Saccharomyces cerevisiae S288C: one gene and its partners. The protein of the gene in region 2 interacts with the protein of the main gene of each other region in a biochemical or structural test. Each region holds a gene or a part of one and is shown on either strand. Other genes may lie near its edges.

What was found.
Region 1: the proteins of STE5 (region 2) and STE7 form a complex in vitro, tested with the Saccharomyces cerevisiae proteins (3 studies listed by BioGRID, with this or other methods).
Region 3: the proteins of STE5 (region 2) and STE11 form a complex in vitro, tested with the Saccharomyces cerevisiae proteins (one study listed by BioGRID).
Region 4: the proteins of STE5 (region 2) and KSS1 form a complex in vitro, tested with the Saccharomyces cerevisiae proteins (2 studies listed by BioGRID).

What each region holds. Positions count from the first base shown.
Region 1 is NC_001136.10:169,608-175,367, reverse strand, and holds STE7 (mitogen-activated protein kinase kinase STE7), read right to left. Parts: upstream 2,888-5,760; coding exon 1,340-2,887; downstream 1-1,339. Other genes in the region: CMR1 (Cmr1p), read right to left, coding at 1-450; DMO2 (Dmo2p), read left to right, coding at 780-1,136; YDL159W-A (uncharacterized protein), read right to left, coding at 3,055-3,186; DExD/H-box ATP-dependent RNA helicase DHH1, read left to right, coding at 3,438-4,958; MHF2 (Mhf2p), read left to right, coding at 5,760-5,760. UniProt on the Saccharomyces cerevisiae protein: Serine/threonine protein kinase required for cell-type-specific transcription and signal transduction in yeast. It is thought that it is phosphorylated by the ste11 protein kinase and that it can phosphorylate the FUS3 and or KSS1 kinases.
Region 2 is NC_001136.10:655,384-662,534, forward strand, and holds STE5 (Ste5p), read left to right. Parts: upstream 1-2,966; coding exon 2,967-5,720; downstream 5,721-7,151. Other genes in the region: TVP15 (Tvp15p), read left to right, coding at 1-61; ARX1 (putative hydrolase), read right to left, coding at 303-2,084; YDR102C (uncharacterized protein), read right to left, coding at 2,265-2,597; SPO71 (Spo71p), read right to left, coding at 5,790-7,151. UniProt on the Saccharomyces cerevisiae protein: Component of the pheromone signal transduction pathway. It mediates pheromone signals acting between STE20 and STE11. It is absolutely required for pheromone-induced transcription of FUS1. May play a role in cell-cycle arrest in response to pheromone.
Region 3 is NC_001144.5:847,957-852,519, reverse strand, and holds STE11 (mitogen-activated protein kinase kinase kinase STE11), read right to left. Parts: upstream 2,655-4,563; coding exon 501-2,654; downstream 1-500. Other genes in the region: NMD4 (Nmd4p), read left to right, coding at 1-25; YLR361C-A (uncharacterized protein), read left to right, coding at 2,841-3,137; DCR2 (phosphoprotein phosphatase), read left to right, coding at 3,396-4,563. UniProt on the Saccharomyces cerevisiae protein: Serine/threonine protein kinase required for cell-type-specific transcription and signal transduction in yeast. It is thought that it phosphorylates the STE7 protein kinase which itself, phosphorylates the FUS3 and or KSS1 kinases.
Region 4 is NC_001139.9:572,759-578,026, forward strand, and holds KSS1 (mitogen-activated serine/threonine-protein kinase KSS1), read left to right. Parts: upstream 1-2,639; coding exon 2,640-3,746; downstream 3,747-5,268. Other genes in the region: YGR039W (uncharacterized protein), read left to right, coding at 2,130-2,441; BUD9 (Bud9p), read left to right, coding at 4,729-5,268. UniProt on the Saccharomyces cerevisiae protein: Together with closely related FUS3, KSS1 is the final kinase in the signal transduction cascade regulating activation/repression of the mating and filamentation pathways, induced by pheromone and nitrogen/carbon limitation, respectively.

The DNA of each region.
Region 1 (5,760 bases), 490 kb from region 2:
ATCACCAGAAGAAAAGTTTCCGTTATTAAACCTCTTGAATTTCTCTAAAAGGGCACTTTCGTCTTCATCCTTGATCAGATCACTTAATTTCACATCTCCTATTACAGGTTTCTCCTTTATTGCGTCTATAAAATTCTTATCCTGGCCATCTGGAGAACCCATTTTAAGCAACTGATTATCGTTCACATTGGGTATTCCTTTCACATCGTCTGCAGACTCACCCCTTAGCCTTCTTGATCTTCGTGTAGGTAAAGTGGGACTCGCAGACTTGGTTGCTCTGGTATTAGTTGTTTTTTGTTTCTTTTTTGCAGGAGCTCTAGATTTTTCCAACACCCCAGCCTCGTGCTTAATTTGAGATGCTACTCCAGACAAATGGAGTTTTTTCAATAAATCGTTATTCCTTTTGATGTTCTCTAAACGTTTTTTCTGAAATTCTGTTAATTCCGGCATTCTTGACTGAAAAGCAGCTTTCTTTTAATTGCCGTACTAAAATAGATCGCCTATTGTGTACTATTGACGACAAATGCAAGATTAAAGGGTTTTTATCTTCTCTTTAACAATTGTTCAAATATACATTTACCTCTTTTGGCGTTATTATAATTGTAACATGTCAGAAATTGAACATTAACAAAAAACGCGTAATATGGGGTCCTCGGGTGAAAAATTAACGATGGGCTTTTGAAAAAAGGTACGAGCATATAAAGCGAGTACAGTCATTGTGTGCCACCAAGTAGGAAACAAAACACCGCTTAGAGAGAAACAGCAAGTGGTGAAAAACAATGAGTAATATTTTGGCAGTGTTCAACCCTCCACCACAAAGGGAGCTGGAAAAAGAAGAGACTATGGATTGCGTTCCTTGTCAAGTCATGAGCACTATGTTTTCTGTTGGATTTGGCTCATACTTGGCATCTGGGAAACCATTCAAGTATGGTAAAAAAGAAGCCAAAAGAGGCATTTCTCTGACTGAATTTGAAAAAAGAAACCCACAATGGTGGAAAGTAACTTTACGTAGCTTCGGTGGGTTATTAATCGCCTTCGGTTTCGTTAGAGGAACCGAAGGTTGGTTGTGGCATAAAAATAAAGAATATAAGAACTATAAGAAATTAAGTAACGATGGTGAAACACAGGCTAACTAGTATTATTCGCAAGCTTCTCTCAATCGTGAAATTTTCTGTACATAAAGTGCTACTTTGATGATTATTTTTAAAAATATTGTTACATTAGAAAATTGGTTTGTGATTTACATAATCAGGAGAGTCTATATATATATGAATATAGCTTTGAGAAAGGGATGTGAAAAAAAGTGCAATATGTTCCTAACTAATGTTATCGCATGCATTCAATGGGTTGATCTTTCCGATTGTTTCTTTTCTAACTTGGCACGGTCCAAGGCTTCTCTTTTAATTCTCTTGTCTTCCTTTATTTTAGATTTTATTTTTCTACACCAATGTCTAAATTTATCATCTTTAGACGGTGATACGTATTTCATTATAAGATCATGATGTAGCAATTCATGAATCGATGACCTTTCCCTTTCATTCTTAATACAACACCTATTGACAAAATCTGTCATTTCCTTGGAATAGATACGGTCTTTGGGTAATCTTGGTGAAGGCTCGTTGACAATACGTTGCAGCAAATCCAATATGCCATCAGGTGTATCGTTATGCCCACCTAGGGGAAACTCTCCAGTTACCAGCTCGATGATCATTAAGCCCAATGACCAAACGTCCCCTTTGATAGAATAAACGTTTCCTTGTATCCTCTCTGGTGACATATAAGTGGACGTTCCAACAAATGTATCAGCGATAGAATTTATTAGTTTTTTGGAAACTCCAAAATCACATAACTTAATCTGCCCCTTACTATTAATCAGAACATTGGAAGGCTTGATATCACGATGAATGATCTTATATTGTCGGTACAAATGATCCAAGCCATTTAGTACGCCATACGCTATTTTTGATATTGTTAATTCGTTGAACCAGGTTTTCTTACTCGAAACAGTCCCTCTTTGAACAAACCTTTTATAAACGGACAGTATTTTATCTAAAGAACCACAATCAGAGTATTCCATTAAAATTATGATTTCATTATTTATATGCTGGTTATAATAAGCTCCATAGAAGGTGATAATGTTTTCATGGGGCTTAACGTTTTTGACGATAGATAATTCCCTAACTAATTGGTTGATGATTGTACTGTTATTCTGTTCCACAGGAATGGTTTTTTTGGCAACTATTTTGGAATCAGGAACATGTAGTGCCTTCACCACAGTTCCAGAATTTCCAGCACCAATTTTCCCCAACTGAACCAAGTCCTGGAGTTGTATATAATTACCATTTGAAGTTCCCGACAACGTATCTTTCAGATCTGCTGCGGCTGGCGATAGGCTTTCCTCCAAAGGTGGTAGTGATATCGAATGTTCGTTTTCAACTGGTGTTGCAATATTGGACAATCCCTGAATCGTAGAGGGAGTAGAATTCGTGGATGATGGCGATAATCCGAAATTATTACTGTACGCATCTATAATGCATGGCGTGGACAAAGATGATGATGATGATACACACGGGGATTGTGATAGAGAAGACAGAACTAAAACAGGTTCATTTTGCGGTTGCTGTATTACCACAGTGTTTGGTTTCGATATAGCTTGGTCATCACCAAACGCATCCAACGTCAGTTTTTTTTTTATGCCTCTTCGCAAAAACAGGTTGCTATTATTCTGTATTGCATTAATGTTAGACATCACGTGGCCTTCTATTCGAGATTGTCCCTGGTGAGTCTCTGTCTTTTCCTGCAATTGGCCATTATTGCCCACATCTGGGTGCAGGTTAAGATTGAGCCCTTTCAAGTTCCTTCTCTGTAAAGTCTTTCGTTGAAACATGACCAACAACCAATATACCACGCTGCAAAAACAGATATGATCCGATGCAGTTTTCTTATCATTAGTGTCGCTTCACATTAACCTGTAGGTCTTCTAATCCATCAGATGGGCCAATAATAGTATGATATCGCCGTTACCCCACGAATCACTTATAACGAGGACAGTGATCAAAAAAGGGAGGGAAAAAAATTTCGTAAGAAAAAGGACAACACAATCTTAGAACTAATGGGCGATTGTAACATTGGGGTTTGCAAGAAAAGACAATCATCAATAAAAGTGTTTATTATCTGATTGTACATTTATTTCTCATCATTGGATTCAGTTTTGTTTCATCCACATTCTTTTAAGACCACAAGCTTAATATTTTCATTCATAAAGGATTGTACGACAAAACAACAATAATAGTAAATATAGTCATATTTTATTCCTAATAGAAAGATAGACGCAGAAAATTCTTACTTTTAGCCCTTTTATTTCTTCATAACCGCATCGCCATTCGCATAATAACTTATCCCAGGCCTAAAATACGACAAGAAAGAAAATAGTAGTAATGGGTTCCATCAATAATAACTTCAACACTAATAATAACAGTAATACGGATCTCGATCGGGACTGGAAAACTGCATTGAATATTCCCAAGAAGGATACCAGACCACAGACAGATGATGTCTTAAATACAAAGGGTAATACTTTTGAAGATTTTTATTTGAAAAGAGAGCTGTTAATGGGTATTTTTGAAGCCGGTTTTGAAAAACCATCCCCTATTCAAGAAGAGGCTATTCCGGTAGCAATAACTGGTAGAGACATATTGGCCAGAGCAAAGAATGGTACAGGTAAGACAGCCGCATTTGTTATTCCTACGTTAGAGAAAGTCAAACCAAAGTTGAATAAAATTCAGGCTTTGATCATGGTTCCCACAAGAGAGTTAGCTCTGCAAACTTCCCAAGTCGTCCGTACATTGGGAAAACACTGTGGTATTTCATGTATGGTGACCACTGGTGGTACCAATTTGAGAGACGATATTCTAAGATTAAATGAAACAGTCCATATTTTGGTTGGTACTCCTGGTAGAGTGTTGGATTTAGCTTCGAGAAAAGTAGCAGATCTGTCTGATTGTTCATTATTCATCATGGACGAAGCCGATAAAATGTTATCTCGTGACTTCAAGACAATAATTGAACAAATCTTATCCTTCTTACCTCCAACTCACCAATCTTTATTATTTAGCGCTACTTTCCCACTAACGGTTAAGGAATTCATGGTTAAACATCTGCATAAGCCTTATGAAATTAATTTGATGGAAGAATTGACTCTAAAGGGTATTACTCAATACTACGCCTTTGTTGAAGAAAGACAAAAGCTACATTGTTTAAATACTTTATTCTCTAAGCTTCAAATTAATCAAGCCATTATTTTTTGTAATTCTACTAACCGTGTCGAATTACTAGCCAAGAAAATCACTGATTTAGGCTATTCCTGTTATTACTCTCATGCAAGAATGAAGCAACAAGAAAGAAATAAAGTTTTCCACGAATTTCGTCAAGGTAAGGTTCGTACATTGGTCTGCTCCGATTTATTGACCCGTGGTATCGATATTCAAGCCGTTAATGTCGTTATCAATTTCGATTTCCCCAAAACGGCAGAAACATATTTACATCGTATTGGTAGATCCGGTAGGTTTGGCCACTTGGGTTTAGCAATCAATTTGATTAACTGGAATGATCGGTTTAACCTTTATAAAATCGAACAAGAACTGGGCACTGAAATTGCGGCTATTCCGGCCACTATCGATAAGTCATTGTATGTGGCTGAAAATGACGAAACGGTACCTGTCCCATTCCCGATAGAGCAACAGAGCTATCATCAACAAGCGATACCTCAGCAACAATTACCATCTCAGCAACAATTTGCTATTCCTCCGCAGCAACATCATCCACAATTCATGGTTCCTCCTTCGCATCAGCAACAACAGGCGTATCCTCCACCGCAAATGCCATCGCAGCAGGGGTATCCTCCACAGCAGGAACATTTCATGGCGATGCCACCTGGTCAGTCACAACCCCAGTATTAAAGAATATCTAAGAAAAAATAACTACTGTGGTGAGATACGCTTTTTTTGTGATCTAATCGTCGATTATTTTTATCTTTTTTCAAATCTCCATTGTGAATTACATTACTTTGTAACCATACTTTTACTATTGATTTTGAACAAGAATCAGTCGTAATTTAATTTTTGTCTCTGCTTTTTTATTTTTTTATCCGTTTTCTCTAGTTTCTGTGCTGATTTTTTTATCCTCATTTGCGCACCGTTTTTATTACTATCACTTTGTTATTTCTTTTTGTTTCTCTAAAATTATCTCAAACCACTTCATTCTTTTACCAGTCATTGTTGTAACCAATACTACCGTCCATATCAAGAGCTCAAGTGCACTTGCCCAGTTTCATCGACACTTTCGCTTTTAGCTAACTTTTATTGTTATAATTTCCACAATAAACTATTCATTTCAACTGACAAGATGAAACTTTCTTTGAATATTCTTTCTTTTTTTGAGTTTTTTTTTTTTTAAAAGCTTTTTTTTTTTTTTTTTTATAGAGAGTAATCTCAAGGAAAGAATATTAATACTGTGTATATATATATATATATATACATATATATATAAAACTGTTTAGATAAATTAACCAACCAAAAAGATACATGTATTTTTATTATTTTTACCTATTATTTTTTACTTTGCTGCATCTTCATGTTTCCGGGAGACCAGAATTATCTTTCGGGCCAAAATATCAAAAATCAATCATACATAAAAGCGTGTTAGAATTTACATTATTGCACTTAGAAAGGACATGAGTACAGAGCACAGTAATTGTGGTGA
Region 2 (7,151 bases):
ACCCGGCTCATCTTTGTCAATTGGTGATGATGACATCGACGATGACGATGACATGATTTAATATTAGAAGCCCATGTCTCTCAATCCGCCGGTGTTACAAAAGCATGGCGAAACAGGCGTGAGATATTTAATCTTCCATCTCATCTGTATAGCAAATAAAATGTAATTATAATGCAAGATTCTGAGCAAATGAACCAAGCGGTTTTAGTACAGCTAGGTTGACTTTTTTTATAATATTCTATTTTACATTTTATGATATACTTATATTATTTATATACTAGCTTTAGAAATGATGAAGTTTCCTACATTTTCATGGTTTCTTCAACTCCGCCATTTGATGTCTCAACACTCTTCTGCTTCATTGGCTGCGTTTCCTTTAATAATAGACCGAACCTCTTATCCTTGGCCAAAGTAGCTAATTGAAAGATCCCTTGAACAATTGAATCTTGTGGATTTAATTCGTGCTGAGAGTGAATCCAGCTCGGTTGACAGGTCTTAGAACCACCAGTTAATCTCAATAATTCGGGTCTGTCCGTTGTACTTACACTAGAGTCACATAATACGATGGTATTACATTCACGAGCAACTGGTAAAGAAATCGATTCCTTGGTTGAATTCATTAAGGATTTAAGCTTGATGGCTGAAACACCCAATTTTGGTAAAGGTAACTCATGCCCAGGTAATGTTAATGTAGAGGTTGCATCATAACTTAAATTACCGTTTGGATTGGTAGCCTTTAAAATATGGTCCCATGGAACCCATCTAGCAATTTGTATTGGACTTTCCACACATAAGTAGTTGTTGGAAATCTCACTCATCCCAAGTCTAAATGATTTCAAATCTTTCTTTAAGCTTTGGAGTTCTTCTTCATTTTCGTGAACGAAAGGAAAGTTAGAAGATAAATGAGATAACTTGAATGGATAAACGCCTTGTTTATCGATTTTAGTTAATAATTGTCTAGAAGTTTTTAATTTAAGAATATGGGTTTGAGCAAAATCTCTAACATATGCACCGGGTCTTGCAATCAATTCTCCAGCCTTATGAGATTTACCTGTGTAAGAGTCAACGGTTTCTAAAGTTACTAAACCCTTTTTGGTACAATGCTCCAAAGATGCCATTTTCAAATCAATTAAATACACTTCACCTGATTGAACAACGAAATCATCACTTGGAATAGCAGAAACATTAGTGAATGGAGTCGATTGTCCACGATCTACCACTGTTAAATCCTTGGCATCAGTATTAGATAGCAAATCTGCTTCTTGATGGGACTCTGTCCAAACAACACCCTTATATTCCCTTTCGGCAACAATACCTTCGTTTTGGCCTGCCAGGAATCTTCTAATCCTTCTTACACGAGAACCAGGAACAACGCCACAGTTATAAGATCTGGCAATAGTATCCACTATAGTTCTAATCAATTGGCCTGTGATACCACTTGAAGTTCCTCCCAGTGAGGCAGGAAGCTTTTCTGGAGTCAGAGCACAGGCTAATAAAGCAACAACTGTTTCCATAGCAATGTGAGCAGCAGCTACAGCATCCGCTTTACCACCTAGTAGTGGCCCAGTGGGTTGAAGAATAGGTTTGGTTTCATCAACGGGGTAAATAACCATAGTATGAGAAACTTCAGAGGTGTAACCATCAATATGAACACCTAGTGTAATCTTGACTAAATCCCCCGGTCTCAAAGTCCCAGTGACAGATGATGCAAAAGTGGAGTCTTTCCCCTTATTCCAGTTTAACAAATTTTGAGTATCATCTATTTCGGGGCACCATCCACCAGAAATTTGGTCGATATCAATAGTGGTTGGAATGGCAATACCTCTTTCATTAACTTTGTTTTTATAATATTGTTCCAACCGGGTCAAAATAAAAGAATCGGTAAGCAAACATAGCTCTGGCACGGTTAATTGGCGCTGTGTGGTCTTAGAGTGATATGAATCATTGATCAAAGAAGTAACATATTTCAAAGCAGTTTGTGCGATTTGTCCAGCAGTTCTGTATTTGTTCAAGACCGATTCCTGTAGAATATTTTTGTCCTTTAGCAAAATCTGAGTATCCTCGTGGGAGATAGCTAGAGCCATGATAGTTTTAGCAATATTAGTCGGGTCGGGTTTTTTCTTAAAAGTATTTTGAATAACACGATGCTTTAGCTCATCTCATCTCTTCTGCTGAAATTTTTCTTTACTTCGGTAAAATTTTTTCAGAAAGCAAAAAAAGCTTCACAGAGGCATGACCCTCTCCGGGTAAAAAAAAGCTTAGGGTTACCGGCCTGTCATTTTTAGGGCATTATCAATTTTTTGCCATCTAGTTGCAACTATAATAATACAGTATGAATTGCACGAAAGAGCAGTCAATGTAAATTCACGAAGTGACTGACAGAATACTGACATCAGCTGATTTCTCATAGAGCTGTTTCTCTGATAACACGTTGTTTGAACATCGACAAGATGAAAATCTAGAAGTATCAAGTTTCCTTTAAAGGGATATATAACAGATTCTAAAACTGACAGAAATATTTCGAGTGAAGAAGAAGCGTTAAATATTGGATCTTTCCGCAGTTCTACTCTGATACATTTTTGAAGTAGGAGAGTCATTTAGAAGGCGTATTGCTCAATAGTAGAAAGCAGGCCTGTGCACATGAATTAATTAAAAAATATAAAGGTAGTGATTAGACGACACATGTCCATAGGTAACCTGTCATAATTTTGAACAATTTCCCTTCTTTTCTTTTTTTTTTTTGGGTGCGGCGATATGTAGCTTGTTAATTTACACATCATGTACTTTTCTGCATCAAAATATGAAAGGCGATAGTAGCTAAAGAAAATACCGAGAATTTCCTCGAAAAGTTGACGACAAAAGAAAGGCATAAAAAAGTAATTTGAAAATATTTTAAAACTGTTTTAACCCATCTAGCATCCGCGCTAAAAAAGGAAGATACAGGATACAGCGGAAACAACTTTTAAATGATGGAAACTCCTACAGACAATATAGTTTCCCCTTTTCACAATTTTGGTAGCTCGACACAATATAGTGGTACCTTGTCGAGAACTCCCAACCAAATAATAGAGCTAGAGAAGCCCAGTACTCTATCCCCATTGTCAAGAGGAAAAAAATGGACGGAAAAGTTAGCCAGGTTCCAAAGAAGTAGTGCTAAAAAGAAAAGATTCTCACCTTCTCCTATTTCCTCCTCTACATTTTCGTTCTCACCCAAATCTAGGGTCACTTCTTCAAACTCTTCTGGCAATGAAGACGGTAACCTAATGAATACACCTTCTACGGTTTCCACTGATTATTTGCCACAACACCCTCACAGAACATCGTCTTTGCCAAGACCTAATTCCAATCTCTTTCACGCAAGTAATAGTAACCTATCCCGAGCAAATGAGCCCCCAAGGGCCGAAAATTTATCAGATAATATACCACCCAAGGTCGCTCCATTTGGCTATCCAATACAAAGAACCTCTATTAAAAAATCCTTTTTGAATGCTTCTTGTACGTTATGTGACGAGCCTATTTCTAACAGAAGAAAGGGAGAGAAAATTATAGAGCTTGCATGTGGCCACTTAAGTCACCAAGAATGTCTTATTATCTCTTTTGGCACCACTTCAAAGGCAGACGTTCGTGCGCTATTTCCTTTTTGTACCAAATGTAAAAAAGATACTAACAAAGCCGTTCAATGCATTCCAGAAAATGATGAACTAAAGGATATTCTAATTTCTGATTTTTTGATTCATAAGATTCCTGATTCTGAGTTATCAATCACACCTCAGTCCCGCTTTCCTCCTTATTCACCACTCTTGCCTCCTTTTGGGTTATCCTATACACCTGTTGAAAGACAAACGATATATTCTCAAGCTCCAAGTCTAAACCCAAATCTCATATTGGCTGCACCCCCCAAGGAAAGAAACCAAATTCCACAAAAAAAATCAAACTATACATTTTTACATTCACCCCTGGGGCACAGAAGAATTCCGTCCGGAGCAAACTCTATCTTAGCAGACACCTCTGTAGCGTTGTCAGCTAATGATTCTATTTCTGCTGTTTCCAATTCGGTAAGAGCAAAGGATGACGAAACCAAAACAACGTTGCCGCTGTTAAGGTCATATTTTATTCAAATTCTTTTGAACAATTTCCAGGAAGAATTGCAGGATTGGAGAATAGACGGGGACTATGGATTACTAAGGTTGGTAGACAAATTGATGATTTCCAAAGATGGTCAGAGATATATACAATGCTGGTGTTTCTTATTTGAAGACGCATTTGTAATAGCAGAAGTGGATAACGATGTTGATGTTTTGGAAATTAGACTAAAGAATTTAGAAGTATTTACACCTATTGCCAACTTGAGAATGACTACACTCGAAGCTTCAGTACTCAAATGCACCTTAAATAAACAACATTGCGCCGATTTATCAGATCTTTACATTGTTCAGAATATAAATTCTGACGAAAGCACAACTGTACAGAAATGGATATCAGGTATATTGAATCAGGATTTTGTATTCAATGAGGACAATATCACTTCGACCCTGCCTATTCTTCCCATTATAAAGAACTTTTCAAAAGATGTTGGTAATGGTAGGCACGAGACGAGTACCTTTCTAGGTTTAATCAATCCTAACAAAGTTGTTGAAGTTGGAAATGTGCACGATAATGATACTGTAATCATAAGGAGGGGATTCACCTTAAATTCAGGAGAATGTTCTAGGCAGAGTACTGTCGACAGTATACAATCTGTTCTAACCACGATAAGCTCAATTCTTTCCCTTAAACGAGAAAAACCTGATAATTTGGCAATAATCTTACAGATCGATTTTACGAAATTGAAGGAAGAAGACAGTTTAATTGTTGTTTATAACAGTCTAAAAGCTTTAACCATTAAATTTGCGCGTTTGCAGTTTTGTTTCGTTGATCGAAATAATTATGTTCTGGACTATGGATCGGTATTACACAAGATAGATTCACTAGATTCCATCTCAAATCTCAAATCAAAGAGTTCCTCGACACAATTTTCACCTATTTGGTTGAAAAATACTCTATATCCCGAAAATATTCATGAACATTTGGGTATTGTTGCTGTATCAAATAGTAATATGGAAGCAAAAAAATCCATACTATTTCAAGATTACAGATGCTTTACAAGTTTTGGAAGAAGAAGGCCCAATGAATTGAAGATTAAGGTGGGCTATTTGAACGTTGACTACAGTGATAAAATTGATGAACTAGTCGAGGCCAGCTCCTGGACTTTTGTTTTAGAAACTCTTTGCTACAGTTTCGGTCTAAGTTTTGATGAACATGATGACGATGACGAAGAGGATAATGATGATTCGACCGATAATGAACTTGATAATAGTTCAGGATCACTGTCGGATGCTGAATCTACAACTACTATTCATATTGATTCTCCATTTGATAATGAAAATGCTACCGCAAATATGGTGAATGACAGAAACCTTCTCACTGAGGGTGAACATAGCAATATAGAAAACTTAGAAACTGTCGCTTCTTCAGTACAGCCAGCTCTGATTCCTAATATTAGATTTTCACTTCATTCTGAGGAGGAAGGTACTAATGAAAATGAAAATGAAAATGATATGCCAGTATTATTACTTAGTGATATGGATAAAGGAATCGATGGCATAACCAGACGCAGTTCATTCTCGAGTCTTATAGAGAGCGGTAATAACAACTGTCCCCTCCATATGGATTATATATAGAGTATACACTAAATTTTATGCAATAATAAAAAGAAAGCATCCCGCCAAACGTTTCGTAACTACATATTGTTACATAGTTTGATTCCGTGAATTTGAAGTGGACGCAGTTCTTCTTAGTCTTTCAAGTTCATAGTAAATAGACATTACCCAAAGATCTCTTTCCTGTCTTGATCTTGCCATGAAAACCATTGACTTGCCGCTCACACCTAACTTTTTAGTGAAATGGATCTTATCTGTGTTACTTGGAACATTAGAGTTATTCAAGTCAGCTTCCGGAGCAGAAGGTGGGTCAATATTATTATCTTGTCTACCATAATCTTGCGTATATTGCTTTTCATTCCCTTTCTTCTGTAAGCGATTGCTAGAAAGGGCACGCCTTGTTCCAAACCAAAGCGTAAAGCATCGCGAACTCTCGTCTTCTACAGATCGCCATCCGTCCCCATAAACTCGTGGGAGAGCGTGGGATCCATAGTTTATTTCGTCAAAAGTACGATCTCTCTGCAGAAGGTCTAGTTCTGTTGTGGTCCCAGAGTATAGGTAGCAATCGTCAATCGGAATGGTTACATAATGAGCATACTCCAAAACTTCCTTAGCAAAACCTGTGGTTGATCTATGAAAGCAGTGGAACAGTACAATAAAACCTGATATCAAAACGACGTAGTACTTCGAGAAAACAGAATGCTTGTGCGGCTTTTGATATAAAGGTCCCTTTTGAATTAACGGCCTACTTAATGATATTCCATTTGCATTAAAGGTTTGCTCATCTGCACGCCCATGTTCTACGATCCAGCGCAATGTATTCTCACCAATTTTTGTTTCCTCTTCTCCATTTAGCATCAAAAGACCTGCATTTGAACGCCTTATTTTTAAAAGCCTCTCCGTATCTTCCCTTTGCTTGTTTTTCCAATAGGATATCATTTGTTTCAGCTTTATGACCCACTCTTCAGCAACTGTTGCTGATGTAGCAAGCAGCTTCAAGAGGAGTCCATTTGAGGTTTCTATATTTATTACGGACCGTGAAACATCATCAATCTCGTAGTTTCTATGCCAAAAGATTTCACTAGCTTCCTTGTAAACCCCATATTTTATTTTGTCTGCTTCGTAATCAGTCCTTGTTCCTTGATATATATCTTTCACCTCAGTTAGGTCAATCACATTGTCCGTTTTTAGTATTTGATCAATCCTTCTATGAAAACAATGGAAAGCATAGAAATCTCTGGAATCATATTCACTTTGGGTCGTTTGACAGTTCATCCACTCGATGTGATCATTTGTGTCTAAGGGATAAGGTTGTTGCTCGTAAACCTCTGGAATTTTCTTCCACTGTTTCCAAATTTCTTCTTTTTCTATTTCTGTGCTAGTGTCGTCAATCATCGAATCTATAGGCAATGGTGGGTTTGCTCTATATGCTTTCATCGAAAAAAGCAAATT
Region 3 (4,563 bases), on a different chromosome or scaffold from region 2:
TACAGGCGAATTGTGGTCCCCATAAAAACAAGCATTTTTCAAATATTTCAATATCATTTTTGATAGATGGCTTTATCTTATGAGAAAAATTGGTAACAGATTATTCATGTGAATGAAACTCTATGGATTATTTCCTTGCTTTTGTCTATCTACCTCCTTTTCCTAGAGCAGGTTATTGAGAAGATATCAATGGTTTGATATCACCTCGCAAAGAAAGGCCTGTTTCTTCGTGCTTCCATCTGTGCGGTCGGATTTTTTTATCAGAATTATCTTACTTGATTTTATTCCAGGGGTATGAGAATCAAATACCGTCATCTAGTTTGGTCTTTTTTTCACAATTGTGATTTATGATTACTTAATCAGCGTAATTGAAAAAAAAAAACCGGTAAATAGCAGATATATTCAATAAATGTCACTAAATATGATATATATGTATTATTTGATAAAAAATCGGCCAGAGCACTTTAGTGCCATAAAAAGAATTAATAAGTAGCCCTTTTTCAAATTATGTGTGCATCCAGCCATGGATGCTGCAGCAATTCAAGGGCACTAGGCCTGTATTGATAATCCAACTCAAATGCCTTTCTTAAGAAATTCTTTCCTTCTGACGTAGCCCAGGAAGGTATCTCGGGGGTCGTGTTTGTGCCTATTTTGAAGATCGCTTGCATTTGAGAAAAATCTGGGAAAGGATGCTTACCGGTAAACATTTCAATGACAACACATCCTGTAGACCATATATCCGCTTTAGCAGTAGTAGCGGTCTGTTTGACCACCTCTGGTGACATCCAGAATACGGAACCTTGCAAAGAAGCTCTCTTATTTTGTTTTTTATTCAAAGGTGATAATTTTTTTGAAATACCAAAATCAGTAATTTTTACGCAACCTTTGATATCAATCAAAATATTTGCACCCTTGATATCTCTGTGAATAATGTTCTTCTTATGCAAATACGCAACCCCAATCAGTATTTGCCTAGTGAAATTAGTAATCAGTGATTCCTCAAATGGACCGTAATTATTCAGCATGGAGGAAACCGAACCCCCAGGAACGTATTCAAGAAAAATATTTAAATTTCCGCCTTCTTGAGAAGCACCATAATAAGTAACAATGTTCTCATGATGTAACTCCTTCAATAAATTCATTTCATGCTGTAAAGCATCAACCATCTTTCTGTGAATATTTTGATTGGTTTTTGGATGACTTACCGCCCCAACATCTTCTATTTTCTCTTGTTGTTCCTCCTGCTCATTATTCTCATCAGAATTGGCTTGTTTATTGTTGTCTGTGGGAACACCAATGTTATTATTTTTTATCTCCACTTGCTTTACTGCCATTAGTTCACCAGTGTGAGCATTCATGCCCAAGTAAACACTCCCAAAACTGCCTGATCCAATGCAAGCACCTTTTAACCAATTCTTGGGCGTGGCAATTTTCGTCGGTAATGAAACAATGTCACTGTCCTCCCCAAAGAAATCGTGATCTTCTTCTTCACCAGACTCTACACTTAATAGTTCTAACTGGTTAGATATGGCATCATTATCTTCTGGCCTTTTATGGGCAAGCTTCGGAATTTTAGTTGTGTCAAGTTTACTGCTTAATCTTGTCTGATCTAATCCTTGTAATAGGGCCATATCAACAGCGTTTGAGTGTTTCAATAGTATGTCACCGATATTATTTGATTCTGCACTTAAAGGTCTTCTTTGAGCAATGCTTAGCCTTGCTGAATGGCGAAATGACTCTCTCATCGTCTTTTGCAACCGCTTCATGTCTGTATGAGGAAAATATCCGGCCAAATTGGTAGAAATAAATTCGCTAGGAGGCCTCTGATTAAAAATCTGTCTAATTCTGTCCTTTTCTGTGTTGTCGATCCGGAGTTTCCCTTCAGCATTGTTATGCGAAATCCCCTTGTTCTGTGCCAACAAATTTGACGAGGATGGCCCAACCTGGCTCAATGCACTCAACGTTCTTAGATATAGTTTTTTGGATGTGGATATAGCTTTATCACTTGGTGTTTGGTCTTTGGAAACAAAAATTAGCCTATTTTTCTCAACACGATCATTTGCGTGGCAAATAGTGACTAATTCCACGTCATATAGCAAATGCAGTACGTTCTTGGTATAATCTAAGACAAACACATCATAATCTTGGACCATTTTAGTTACTTCTCCATTGGAGTTTGTGGCTAATAATTCATGTGGCAATCTTCTGATTAGCCTTTTCTTAATAGAATCTGCATTAAAGCAACCATTTACATTAACTTTCTTAGCGGAACCATCGTTTAAGATAAATATAACACAGTGCTTTTCAGGAATCAATTCTGAATTCATCGATAGCGTAGCAGTGGATAGAGAGCTTACTTTTTCCATCAGGTTTTTCAATCTATTCACCTGTTCAATCCGTTTATCTCTCTGGAACGATTTTGACTTCCTTAAAATTTTGAGTCTGTCTCCTATTTTGTTTACACCCAAAGCAATGAGGATATCCTTGTCGAGATACTTAATTTCTTCTTCTGTGACAAGGTTGCACTGAATAAAGCTATCCAGGTATTGAGTGCATCCTATTTCCTCCAGAAATAACTGCACAAAAGGTAAATCGTTGGTCTTTTCGTCACCAATTAGTAAGTCAGTGCCCTCTGCTGTTTGTGTCTGTTCCATGTATATTTCGTCTACCGGTGATCTTATCATACTAGCTTTATTAAGTGGTCTCTCTTTATGCATGTGTGTAAATATGAATATTTTCTACTGTTTAAAGCCATCGCGGCGAAAGCTTTACACCTTAAAAGGCTTTTAATGCTAGCCTGATAACGAAAGGCATGGTGAGGACAGCATAAAGAAACTATAATGGCAGTTAGTAATAATAATAATAATAATAATAGTAAAGAACGCACCCAAAATATAAAAGAAGTGGAGGAAAAGTTGGGCGAGAATCCAAAGATTACTTTAAAAGGGGGAGGGAAAACTAAAATCATGGATTTTGAACAGTTACGCAAGCCCCATTGCGTAAGACCCAGTGCAAGATTTCCAGTTGAAGATACTGCCGGTGGTTTATTGAGAACGGGTGGCCACAGGCCTCAGATAAGTGATGAAGAAGTCTCTAAAAGGCACCATGAACAGTCTCATGGACAAGAAGATCATTAATAGTATTGTATATAGGACTTGCTCAGTTATATTTCATTTCTATTTCATAAGCTAGAAGGCTAACTTGTATAAAGCTGCGCAGAAAGTGTTTCCATTTTACGTATATTTAGATTTATATTTTGCCTTAGGTGCTTTTTGAATTTCAAATGGTTTAGTGTTGATCTTTTTCAAAAATTAATCTTTTTAGATCGCAGATACCTCTGATACAAGTTTTATACTTAAGTATCGAAGACCAGCACCGTGGTTAAAAATCTTAACATGATCCGGTTACCGAGGCTGTATCAAAGGTACCTATTATACTTGGTAGTTTTTGTAGTGATTGCCCTATTTTACTTCCTACAGGCGCCAAGAGTTGAAGAGCACATTGGTTTCGACCTTGCACTCCCGATATCACACGTTGATAATCTATGGTTCCAAAATAAAGGTCTAGAGGGATTCTCAAATGACGATAAGCTAGTTGTAAATATAGGCTATGACGAATGTTTTCATATTGGTCGTTTTTATGAAGGATGTTTTAATCGGCATGAACTTAAATCAACTTTAACTGATGGGCACCAATACTTACAAAGGAAAAGAATTCATAAAGACTTGAGAGGTTCCTTTGGACGCAGGTGGTTTGGAAAGTCAGAATACCTTTACTATGATGTGTTATACCCTGCTTTGGTGGACTACTTTGGATCCAACCTAGAAAAGCTAAATGTTGAGGCAGTAACTGGAATTTCCAAATATCCTAAAGACAAATCGCTACCCTTTATGGATGTATCCATCACATTCGAGCCTATTAGCATAGAACTATTGCAGAAAAGGAGCTACATAAGCGATATTAACATTCTCTTTGGTGTTGATTGCATCCAGCCGATAGCAAATTGGACTCTTCAAAAAGAATTTCCCTTAGTAAAATACCGCTACAGCGAACCTGCTTATTTGACTTACAAATTCGTTGGTACTCGTCCTGTAGACACAGGAGCTCAACGGCTGCAAGAAACTGATGAAGGAAAGTTCAAAATTGTTCAGTTGGCGGATCTCCACTTGGGTGTGGGGGAGTCTGAATGTATCGATGAGTATCCAAAGCATGAAGCTTGCAAGGCAGATCCAAAAACGGAAACTTTCGTTCAACAAGTTCTTGACATTGAAAAACCGCAGTTGGTTGTTTTTACTGGTGACCAAATCATGGGTGATAGATCTATTCAAGACTCTGAAACCGTATTATTAAAGGCGGTAGCACCCGTCATTGCAAGAAAAATTCCGTGGGCAATGGTATGGGGAAATCACGACGACGAGGGAAGCTTAACGCGCTGGCAGTTATCCGAAATAGCTTCAGTACTACCATATTCCCTTTTCAAGTTTAGTCCCCATGATACACACGATAATACGTTTGGCGTTGGTAATTATATTTATCAGATTTTTTCGAACAATGATACAGAAG
Region 4 (5,268 bases), on a different chromosome or scaffold from region 2:
TAGTACTGTACCATCCGATCTTTCTAAAGTGTTTCTGGTAAAGCAGGCAGTAATATTTTGATTAGCCAGCTCACTCAAACTTAATAGATCATAGGCTATGTTTGGTGTGTGTAGTGCTTTTATTGATGTTTTGGTGCCGTTCTGAAAGTTGAAGTGAAGATTACCAATGGCATTTATAGGAATGTCTTGTTTTTGAGCATCGACTATGTTTATTTCAGAATTGGGTGTTGCATGGTGTAAATAATGGGCTGATCTGACAAGCGTTTGCGAAGCTCCTGAATCAATAAGAAGGTGATCAGGTAGTTCGTCATTCGAGTCTATTGTGTGTGTTGGCTTAGATTCTTTCTGTTGCTGGCCTAAGACTAAGTTCGTCGTCATCGCTTAAGTATTGTGATGAAACGGTTGATTCATTAATGTGATCATTGTTCACCCTTGAGAATTTACTAGATGTAGCAATATTGTGAGCTTTTGCTGCTCTTGGTTTTGAACTATTTGTTCTATGATAATTACGAGTTGTAACCTTTGTGTTAGTCGTGTTTGGAGATGTGCGAGAAACATTTTTGTATTCGCTGTGTTGTTTGTATTGGGACGGTTTATTTAGATTCATGATTTTATTTTCGTCATATATTAATTGAATTTCAGCGAATAATTGGGAAAGTTTCATGTTCGTTTTGGTACGATATTGATTACGTAGGTATTTGAAGTCACCGGATAGACCTTTAAGTATTAGTTGACAGGCCAATCTGTCGCTAACATTGATATTGTTTTCTTTTAGCCTCTGAATGATCGTACTGACTGTAATTTCAAATGTATCAGCAGATGTACTTCCGTCGTACTCAAGGTTGGCAAGAGCTATCCAATCCTTTAATTCTTGATTGTTAGTTTGCATTTTGGACACACTTTTACAAAGGACTGTAAGGATGTCAGCATAATTAATTTCTAAAATTTGTTTTACCCATGTTGGCAATAAATGAAATGGGGCAAATGCTTGGAAGGTATTGTATATATACGCATGTTCTTCATAAGTCATTTGTCTTTTGATTTCACCCTGGTCATTTGGAATGATGTCACCGAGATTAGAGTTCTTCAAAAATCTGATGTAAAATTTAACCCATGTAGAAAAGTTTTCTTCTGATGTTAAAGTGTGTGGTGGTAAGACGTTATTTCCCACCTTTGTCTTAGCTTGAGGTATTTCAGAGTGTTGATTTTTTAAATCGATTGGATCAGGTGAGGAAGTACTCAGTGGTGGGATATACTGTGGCAACGGATAGTGTGGGTCCGGTTGATAATACGCAGGTGACGTTTGATAATGTGAACACGTCATCATAGATGGTTGTTGGTAATGTGCCCAGTTAGAGGCCATAGCTTTGTTTGGGGTCATCATGCCGTGCTGTTGGTACTGTCCATTCTGTGGAGGTGGTACTGAAGCAGGTTGAGGAGAGACATGATGATGGTTCTCTGGAACAGCTGATGTCCCAGGTGTTGTCTCTTGTTGAGAATTAACCTTAGTGGAATCTCTATCAAATTCCGGTAAATTGGAAGCTGAAACGGCTAACGGATCTTGATTTTATGGGACTTCCTTAGAAGTAACCGAAGCATAGGCGCTACCATGAAGAGAATGTGGATTTTGATGTAATTGTTGGGATTCCATTTTTTATAAGGCGATAATATTAGGTATGTAGATATACTAGAAGTTCTCCTCGAGGATTTAGGAATCCATAAAAGGGAATCTGCAATTCTACACAATTCTATAAATATTATTATCATCATTTTATATGTTAATATTCATTGATCCTATTACATTATCAATCCTTGCGTTTCAGCTTCCACTAATTTAGATGACTATTTTTCATCATTTGCGTCATCTTCTAACACCGTATATGATAATATACTAGTAACGTAAATACTAGTTAGTAGATGATAGTTGATTTTTATTCCAACAGTATTTATGTTTTGTCATTCTTTTCTACATAATCTTGAAACTAGGTAGATCTACAATTGAAAAGTAAATACTAACATTATTTACTAAATTTAAGTTAGAAATCGGCACGAAAAAAATTTGACAGATTACGAGAGTCCAGCCAAAATATGAGTATATTACTATTTCCCCTTGGTGAAAGAAATGAAAGATGTTATTTTTTACCGGCTTAGTAATACTGAGCTACTTACTTGGGGGAAAGAAAGATTGGCTACTTATTATGTATGAAGCCTCAGATTACCTTGAATTCCTCAACCGTTTGAGCAGTATGCTCTTCAAATTCGAACTTTTTGAACATCTTTCCTCCACATTCCTGATTTTTTCACATTCAAAACGCGCTGTGAAGCTGTTAGAAATTTACAGATCGAGGCATATTTCTATATATAATGTATTTTTATTAAGACACCCAAAGTACTTCCAATCTGTAGATATTGCACTTTATCTGACCAGAAGCCAGACTTGAACAGTTACATATTGTGCTTTGCAGTCGTTAAATTTCCCGAACTGTTTTCGTATTTTTTTTTCTTTTCCTCTTTTCCACTGGATCAGATCAAAAGCCGACTAAAAATTTGGCAATTTAAAGAAAGCATCTTTTAAAGATAGAAAAGGTTATTTCAACAAAAAAGTATCTTTTCTTCACTTTTCTTTCAACAATTCAAAGATGGCTAGAACCATAACTTTTGATATCCCTTCCCAATATAAACTCGTAGATTTAATAGGTGAGGGAGCGTACGGAACAGTATGTTCAGCAATTCATAAGCCTTCCGGCATAAAGGTAGCTATCAAGAAAATACAACCGTTTAGCAAAAAATTGTTTGTTACAAGAACTATACGTGAGATCAAGCTTTTACGGTATTTCCATGAACACGAAAACATAATAAGTATATTGGATAAAGTAAGGCCAGTATCCATAGACAAACTAAACGCTGTTTATTTAGTCGAAGAGTTGATGGAAACCGATTTACAAAAAGTAATTAATAATCAGAATAGCGGGTTTTCCACTTTAAGTGATGACCATGTTCAATACTTTACATACCAAATCCTCAGAGCCTTAAAGTCTATTCACAGTGCACAAGTTATCCATAGAGACATAAAGCCATCAAACCTGTTACTAAATTCCAATTGTGATCTCAAAGTCTGCGATTTTGGACTAGCGAGGTGTTTAGCTAGCAGTAGCGATTCAAGAGAAACATTGGTAGGATTCATGACGGAGTACGTCGCAACGCGATGGTACAGGGCACCCGAGATAATGCTAACTTTTCAAGAGTACACAACTGCGATGGATATATGGTCATGCGGATGCATTTTGGCTGAAATGGTCTCCGGGAAGCCTTTGTTCCCAGGCAGAGACTATCATCATCAATTATGGCTAATTCTAGAAGTCTTGGGAACTCCATCTTTCGAAGACTTTAATCAGATCAAATCCAAGAGGGCTAAAGAGTATATAGCAAACTTACCTATGAGGCCACCCTTGCCATGGGAGACCGTCTGGTCAAAGACCGATCTGAATCCAGATATGATAGATTTACTAGACAAAATGCTTCAATTCAATCCTGACAAAAGAATAAGCGCAGCAGAAGCTTTAAGACACCCTTACCTGGCAATGTACCATGACCCAAGTGATGAGCCGGAATATCCTCCACTTAATTTGGATGATGAATTTTGGAAACTGGATAACAAGATAATGCGTCCGGAAGAGGAGGAAGAAGTGCCCATAGAAATGCTCAAAGACATGCTTTACGATGAACTAATGAAGACCATGGAATAGTATTCACAAGAACATTTCTGCCATACTTCTAAAATTTCCCTATATTCAGCTTAGCAGTGACACGTTGTGGTCTGTAGGTCAATATGTAAGTAAGAAACTTCAACTCACATATGCACGATGCATGCCAATGGAAAAATGCAAGGAACGAAATGGCGCCACGGCAACAAGTTTTTTTTTTTCGCCAGCAGAAGTACACGAAATGCGGCTTCATGAGCCTCTTCACTGCTTTGCCTAAACGGGAAATGCAGAGAAAAACCAGCCATCGCGTGTGCTTGGAGAGCTGACGCGACTGTAATCAAAGAGGCGATATCAACACCTTTTATCCAGCACTATTCAACAGTGAATGGGCTCCCAAGTAAGTCTTGGCATTGTGCTTTCTATTCTTAAGTATTAAGTAGAAGTTTTGTTTACTGGGTTTGTTTATTCCTGGCTAGATGTTCGCATTCGTTTTCTAGTTGACCATATTTACCAAATATTCACAACTAATACCCAGCCAAGGTAGTCTAAAAGCTAATTTCTCTAAAAGGGAGAAAGTTGGTGATTTTTTATCTCGCATTATTATATATGCAAGAATAGTTAAGGTATAGTTATAAAGTTTTATCTTAATTGCCACATACGTACATTGACACGTAGAAGGACTCCATTATTTTTTTCATTCTAGCATACTATTATTCCTTGTAACGTCCCAGAGTATTCCATTTAATTGTCCTCCATTTCTTAACGGTGACGAAGGATCACCATACAACAACTACTAAAGATTATAGTACACTCTCACCTTGCAACTATTTATCTGACATTTGCCTTACTTTTATCTCCAGCTTCCCCTCGATTTTATTTTTCAATTTGATTTCTAAAGCTTTTTGCTTAGGCATACCAAACCATCCACTCATTTAACACCTTATTTTTTTTTTCGAAGACAGCATCCAACTTTATACGTTCACTACCTTTTTTTTTACAACAATTTCATTCTTCATCCTATGAAATGACGAAAATAACCAGAGATGTTTCGATAACGACAGAAAATTCAAAATCCACATCTGGATCGGCAACGGCTTCATCCGCATCTTTACCTGAGAACGACCACCCAATATTCCATCAACCGCGAGCAAGAATAAGATCTGGTTCGCTGTTCATCGAAGGATCTGATTCATTTCCATCATCAGAAGTGAAGTCATACAATGTTTATATTGATGATAGCAAGTATAGTGAAATCCTCAAAGGAGATACAAATTCAAGTAGTACTGATGGTAAACAAGTCTTTGAAGATGCTAGAGATGACAATTTCCATCAGGAATCACATAGAGATCTAGAGGATTCAATTTTAGATTTAGTACGACGAGATCCAGAAGTAGCAGCATTCCCTTTACCTCCGCCAAATTCAAATGAGAGGAACAGAAATTCCTCAAACGGGTCTTCCGCTGAAACTAACCTAAATGGACACAGCAGCAGCGGTACCATCTCTACTTCGGTGCTGTTGAATATGGGTTCGGCAGAAAAGCACGCTGGGACGACCAGAGGAGAT